Linked DNA regions of Macaca fascicularis. The protein of the gene in region 1 purifies or fractionates together with the protein of each later gene. This does not show direct contact. Links are inferred from orthologs where the notes say so. Each region holds a gene or a part of one and is shown on either strand. Other genes may lie near its edges.

The links. The genes of interacting proteins can lie anywhere in the genome.
Region 2: the proteins of DAPK1 (region 1) and IFI30 purify together in Homo sapiens (affinity purification with mass spectrometry; 3 studies listed by BioGRID and IntAct, counting the BioPlex papers as one, with this or other methods). This does not show direct contact. The link is inferred for Macaca fascicularis from reciprocal best matches to the Homo sapiens genes DAPK1 and IFI30.

Annotation. Positions count from the first base shown.
Region 1 is NC_088389.1:118,134,630-118,137,372, forward strand, and holds the end of DAPK1 (death-associated protein kinase 1), read left to right. Parts: coding exon 1-959; intron 960-1,444; coding exon 1,445-1,478; 3' UTR 1,479-2,243; downstream 2,244-2,743. UniProt on the Homo sapiens protein: Calcium/calmodulin-dependent serine/threonine kinase involved in multiple cellular signaling pathways that trigger cell survival, apoptosis, and autophagy.
Region 2 is NC_088393.1:18,526,334-18,530,584, reverse strand, and holds the start of IFI30 (gamma-interferon-inducible lysosomal thiol reductase), read right to left. Parts: upstream 2,801-4,251; 5' UTR 2,772-2,800; coding exon 2,640-2,771; intron 1,563-2,639; coding exon 1,380-1,562; intron 1,292-1,379; coding exon 1,217-1,291; intron 998-1,216; coding exon 905-997; intron 1-904. UniProt on the Homo sapiens protein: Lysosomal thiol reductase that can reduce protein disulfide bonds. May facilitate the complete unfolding of proteins destined for lysosomal degradation. Plays an important role in antigen processing.

The DNA.
Region 1 (2,743 bases):
AGCCTGCACCGCTCCTGGGCCGATGAGGAGGACGAGGTGATGGTATATGGCGGCGTGCGCATCGTGCCAGTGGAGCACCTCACCCCCTTCCCATGTGGCATCTTTCACAAGGTCCAGGTGAACCTGTGCCGGTGGATCCACCAGCAAAGCACGGAGGGCGATGCGGACATCCGCCTGTGGGTGAATGGCTGCAAGCTGGCTAACCGTGGGGCCGAGCTGCTGGTGCTGCTGGTCAACCACGGCCAGGGCATTGAGGTCCAGGTCCGCGGCCTGGAGACAGAAAAGATCAAGTGCTGCCTGCTGCTGGACTCGGTGTGCAGCACCATTGAGAACGTCATGGCCACCACGCTGCCGGGACTCCTGACTGTGAAGCATTACCTGAGCCCCCAGCAGCTGCGGGAGCACCACGAGCCTGTCATGATCTACCAGCCACGGGACTTCTTCCGGGCACAGACTCTGAAGGAAACCTCACTGACCAACACCATGGGGGGATACAAGGAAAGCTTCAGCAGCATCATGTGCTTCGGGTGTCACGATGTCTACTCGCAGGCCAGCCTTGGCATGGACATCCACGCGTCAGACCTGAACCTCCTCACTCGGAGGAAACTGAGTCGCCTGCTGGACCCGCCTGACCCCCTGGGGAAGGACTGGTGCCTTCTCGCCATGAACTTGGGCCTCCCTGACCTCGTGGCAAAGTACAACACCAATAACGGGGCGCCCAAGGATTTCCTCCCCAGCCCCCTCCACGCCCTGCTGCGGGAGTGGACCTCCTACCCTGAGAGCACGGTGGGCACCCTCATGTCCAAACTGAGGGAGCTGGGTCGCCGGGATGCTGCAGACTTTTTGCTGAAGGCGTCTTCTGTGTTCAAAATCAACCTGGATGGCAATGGCCAGGAGGCCTATGCCTCGAGCTGCAACAGCGGCACCTCTTACAATTCCATTAGCTCTGTTGTGTCCCGGTGAGGACAGCCTCTGGCTTGGGCAGGGTCTGTTTGGACTGCAGAAGCAAGGGGGTGGTGTAGCCCATCCTTTCCTTTGGAGATGCTGAGGGTGTTTCTTCCTGTGCCCATAGCCAGGGGGATGCCACTCCTCCCTCCGGCTTGACCAGAGAAAGCCTGTTTCTCTGCCGCTACCTCCCTCCCCCTCTCATTCCATTGTCTGTGGATGGTCATTGTAGTTTCAGAGCAGAGCAAATCTTTTACTTTGGCCACTCAAAAAGCTAGTGTACCTCCTCTCAGTGTTTCGGACTCCATCTCTCATCCTCCAGTACCTTGCTTCTTACTGATAATTTTGCTGGAATTCCTAACTTTTCAGTGACTTTTTTTAAACTACTATATTGATTGTCCTTTAAAAAAGAAAAGTGCATATTTATCCCAAATGTGTATTTCTTATACGCTTTTCTTTGTTATACCATTTCCTCAGCTTATCTCTTTTATATTTGTAGGAGAAACTCCCATGTATGGAATCCCACTGTATGACTTACAAACAGACAATATGTGAGTGCCTTTTGCAGAAGAGGGTGTGTTTGAAATCATCAGAGTCAGCCAGGAGCTGTCACCAAGGAAACGCTACCTCTCTGTCCCTTGCTGTATGCTAATCATCGCCAGAGGTGCTTCACCCTGAGTTTTGTTTTGTGTTTGTTTTCTGACAGTTTCTGTGTTTTGTTTGGCAAGGAAAGGGGAGAAAGGAATCCTCCTCCAGGGTGATTTCATGATCAGTGTTGTTGCTCTCGGAAGACATTTTTCAGTTTGCTTTTGTTCCAATGTCAATGTGAATGTCCACATGAAACCTACAAACTGTCACGCTTCCTCATTCCCTCTCATCTCAGGTAGAAGGTTGACACGGTTGTAGGGTTACAGAGACCTATGTAAGAATTCAGAAGACCCCTGACTCATCATTTGTGGGTGGCAGTCCCTTGTAATTGGTGCATAGCAGATGGTTTCCACATTTAGATCCTGGTTTGATAACTTCCTGTACTTGAAGTCTAAAAGCAGAAAATAAAGGAAGCAAGTTTTCTTCCATGATTTTAAATTGTGATCGAGTTTTAAATTGATATGAGGGAACATGTCCTAATTCTTCTGTCCTGAGAAGCATGTAATGTTAATGTTATATCATATGTATATATATATATGCACTATGTATATACATATATATTAATACTGGTATTTTTACTTAATCTATAAAATGTCGTTAAAAAGTTGTTTGTTTTTTCTTTTTTTATAAATAAACTGTTGCTCGTTGCATTCGTTTTGTTGATCTTTAATTCAAAAGGATTTCTTTTTATTTGTTGTGTTTTTACTGTTGTCATCCCACATAGCAGGACAACCCAGGCCAAAACCTACAAAATCATTACACCCAAACTCTCAGGGTTTTTTAGATGCTGATTATTACTAAAATTAGGAATGGTGTGGGAAAGTGAAAAGAGCCCAGATAATTTTCACATTTCTTCCCATTGTAAATAAAACAGGCCCCTTAGATTTTTCTTGGGTGAACCAAAAAACCAAATTGACTCTGTTCGTTTTGGCAATGGGGAACAGAGGAAGCTCTGCTACTTCTACACAAAAATGAAGGGGATGACACCAGGAGGAAGAGAAAACCTACAGCAAAAAGACCTTCACGCCTTTCTTACATTTTCAGTTCATTTTTGTTTCAAGCAAGTTGTCCACGATAAACATGATTAATGTTTATAACGAGAAAAGAAGTTCTGATGAATAAAATTAAAACTAGACATAGCTGTGTCTAC
Region 2 (4,251 bases), on another chromosome or scaffold:
CCACATCCTATCATCTGTGTCTCTGCACATTCCTGCTCATCCTTCCATGACCAGCTCAGAAATGCCTCCTCCAGTAAGTCCTCCGTGATCACTCATGCTCCTAAGAGACCTGCATTCATTCCCCTGATTCAGAGATGGAAGTTTCAAGAGGGGAGGCTGGGGCCAGGCGTGGTGGCTCACACCTGTAATCCTTTGGGAGGCTGGGACAGGAGGATTACTTGAGGTCAGGAGTTTGAGACCAGCCTGGCCAACATGGTGAACGCTGTCTCTACTAAAAATACAAAAATCAGCCGGGCATGGTGGTGCGCGCCTGTAGTCCCAGCTACTAGGGAAGCTGAGGTGGGAGGATCACTTAAACCGAGGAGACAGTGGTTGCAGTCAGCCAAGATCGCACCACTGCACTCCAGCCTGGGTGACAAAGCAAGACCCTGTTTAAAAAAAAAAAAAAAAAAACGGCCGGGCACAGAGCCAGTAGCTCATGCCTGTAATCCCAGCACTTTGGGAGGCCTAGGCGGGCGGATCACGAGGTCAAGAGTTCAAGACAAGCCTAACCAACATGGTAAAACCCTGTCTCTACTAAAAATACAAAAATTAGCCTGGTATGGTGGCACAGAACTGTAATCCCAGCTACTCAGGAGGCTGAGGCAGGAGAATCACTTGAACCCGGGAGGTGGAGGTTGCAGTGAACCGGGATTGTGCCACTGCACTGCAGCCTGGGTGACAGAGCGAGACTCCGTCTCAAGAAAAAAATAAATAAATAAATAAAATAAAGAAGGGTAGTTGTTTTCTTGGGCTGCACAGACAGCAGTGGTCAAGGCTAAGACTTGAATTTGAGTCTGCCTGGGTGTAGGGAAGGTTACCACCCTTGTCCCCCTCCTCGTGGGGAGTGAGGGGCGTCACTCACTAGTGGCAGACTTTTCTCCATGTCGTCAAACTCTTCCATGCAGACAATGGTCAGGAAGGCTAGATCCATGTCAAGCATATCCAACAGGCAGGCCTGGGGTTTGGAGAGGGGACAGGAGAGGGCATGAAGAGGGCCCAGGGTACCCTGACACCCTCTCGTAATAATCACCAGTACCCACCCAGGAGATAGGGAATAAAGATGTGATTAAATGGGAGCACACGAGGCAGAAGACAAAGCTGGTATCCTCATATTTACCTCCTGTACATCGGACGGTTTTCCCCCACCCCGGTGTGGGGCCCTGGGGATGCTCACCTCCACCTTGTTGAGTTTGCACTCCTCTTCTCCATGCTGGCACTTGAACTCCCATCTGCCGCTGACATTTTGTTCCTACAAGGCAGCAGGGTGAGAGCTGGCTGGCAGGCTGGGTCCCCTGCTCCCCTGCCCACGTGCCTCAGTTTCCCCAGCGCCCATGCACCTGTGCATTTCCGTAGGGCACCAGCGTGACATTGAGGATCTCCATGACCATCAGCCACGTTGGGAAAAGCTCTCGGACCAGGAAGGCGCGGCAGCCACCGCACAGTGCTTCATAGTAGAGGGTCACGTTGACAAGCGGTGCGTTGGACTTCTTGACAGGCCCCCGCAGGTATAGATTGCCCATCTGTGGATTAGGAAGGGGTGTGAGGCAGATGTAGCCCTGGGCAGTTCCCCACTTCTCTGAACCCCACTTGGTATTCTTGTAGAAAGGGGGCTGTCATAGGCAATTCATCTTGCACACCTTCCAGAACTTGCCAGGTGGAATCTTGACTTTGAGACTTTTTTTTTTTTTTTTTTTTGAGACAGCGTCTCTCTCTGTCGCCCAGGCTGGAGTGCACTGGCACCATCTTGGCTCACTGCAAGCTCCGCCTCCCGGGTTCACGCCATTGTCCTGCCTCAGCCTCCCAAGTAGCTGGGACTACAGTCCCGAGTAGCTGGGACTACAGGCGCCGGCCACTACACCCGGTTAATTTTTTTGTATTTTTAGTAGAGACGGGGTTTCACCGTATTAGCCTAGCCAGGATGGTCTCGATCCCCTGACCTCGTGATCCGCCCGCCTCGGCCTCCCAAAGTGCTGGGATTACAGGTGTGAGCCATCGCCTCCGGCCTTGGCCCATGCCCATTTCTTGCCACTCCACCAGGAGACTTTGACTCTGAGCTGAGCAAGGAACCCACGTGAACCCTTTCCAAGTCCGACCAAACAGAGGCGGCACCTAATAGGTGCTGACTTCCGGCTTCAGCTGAGGGGTGGCGGGCGGCCCGTGTCGCTGGATCCCTGAGCAAGTCGCTCAGCTTCTAGGGCATTTGCCTAATAGGTCCCAGAGACACGCAAGCCCTGCCCTGGCTGGAATGAATGCACCAGGGGTAGCAGCAAGAACGCATGCCGGTGGCCCTCGGCCAGCTGCTGAACTTGTGCCCTGGACCATAAAAGGAGACCCCAGCTCCTGCCCCAAAAGTACACAATAGGCGCTCAATGAACCCTTGGGCGGGACGAGGCGGTGGAAGCAACTGCGCGTCTCAGATGCGGGATGCGAAAGCGAAACGGCACGGAGGGACTCTGGCCGCAGTGCCGGGAAATGAACGGGGTTTTTCCAGTCGGGGCCCTGGTCTTCCCCTGTGAAGTCTGGGGAGAAAGAAGGAGCCGCCTGCCCCGACAGGGCGCCTGTCCCCTCCAGTCTGCCCGCCCTGTCGCCGTCCCTACCTTGTAGTTAACTGGCGGCCCATTCCCAAAGATGTCTAACGTTTGCAGAGGGGACGCCTGCACCGCTGCCGTGGGGTCGTCCAGCAGCAGCAGCAGCGGTGGCAGGAACAGCAGAAGTGGCGACAGGGACATCGCTGCGGGGCAAAAGTGTGGCGGCTGGGGCGGCTGCCTGGGAAATGAGCGCCTTTAACCAGGGGGTGGTCCCGCCCCTAACCCGGGCCTGCCTCCCGGTGCCCACGCCCCTGGGCCCCGAGCCAGCGTCCCTCCCTCCTCCACTCCTCCCTCTGGGTGTCCCACCCCCACCCCTGCCAGGTGCTGGGTCCCCAGTCACGAGGTCACTGGGCCCCTTGGCAATCAGCCCTGCCTAGGCATGTGAGCCCTGGCGCAAGAGGACCTTTAGGGGAGGTGAGGTGGGGCCTTTGAGATAGATACAAAGAGGCTGAGAGGAATGGTGGTGTGTCCATGCACTCCTAGACTTTCTGGGGGCGGCTAGGGGACTTGAGGCCTGGGACCCACTCTCAGAGTGGGCCTGTGATCTAACGGGGTGACGTCGGATGGAGGCTGGGGATGGGATGGAGGCTGGGGTGTTGGGGGAGTAACAAATGTTCAGCCCCCTGAGAGTGGGCAAGCCCTGTGTGGCCAGGTTCCCTCCCTCCAGCCTGGCCCGTGACCTCCCTCACGCCCAACCCCCACGTCCTGCCCCTTGATCCTTCCCCCTCAAGCTCCCGACCCCGATGCTCCAGACCCGGCTCCGTGGTCCCGTGGGACTGACTCAGGCTTGACCACAGCCATGCCAGAAAGCAGAAGCTGGCACAGGGGAGCGGCATGTCATTTCTCTAGGGTGCCCCCCCTCCAGTCCCACTTCCGACTTGGGGTGAAGAGAACTGGCCTTCCTTCTTTTCACCATCTAAGGCTTGTGGAGGGTGGGGGGCAACCTGGCCTTCAAGGGGCACCCATGGGGGAAAGCGGGGGCCTGTGCTGTCTGGGATAGGGGTGGGACGGCTTGGAGTCCGTCTGGCTTTGGATTTGAGTGACGGAGCCTTAGCTTTCCCTTCTGTGTAATGGGGAGAAGGATAAGGTTTGGGGAACAAGAGTCACCATGGAGGGCTCAGAGGCAGGTGGGGGGAGAGTTGTCCCAGGTTGGGGCTTCCGGGTGGCATGGTCAGGCCTTGGTGCCTACACAGGACAGTGGCCCCAGCAGTGAAGGCAGAGAGAATAGCCTGGAAAAAAGGCCCAGATGGAGGTTGGAGTGTTGGGGGAATAATTGAGACATTCAGACCCTGCAGGGCCTCACATTCAGGGCAAGACACACCGGATCCTAAGGAAGAAAATGTCCCAAAGACGGCTGGAAGATATAGCTGAGTCCCCAGCTGTGCCCCCTTCTAGCTGTGTGGGAGACCCCGACCACGCACACAGCAGCTGGTTTGGGAGCCGGAGTTTCCCTGAAGTCCCGGGGGCTGGATGGTCCCCAAGCCCATCCCTCAGACAACCAAACCGTTGGCAAAGCCCTTTTCCTTCTCAAAGCCTCCCCAGGACTCACCGCCTCAAGTCTGGTGCTTACCCTATGCCGGGTGGGATTGAAGAAATAACCATAAATATAATCGCTACAATT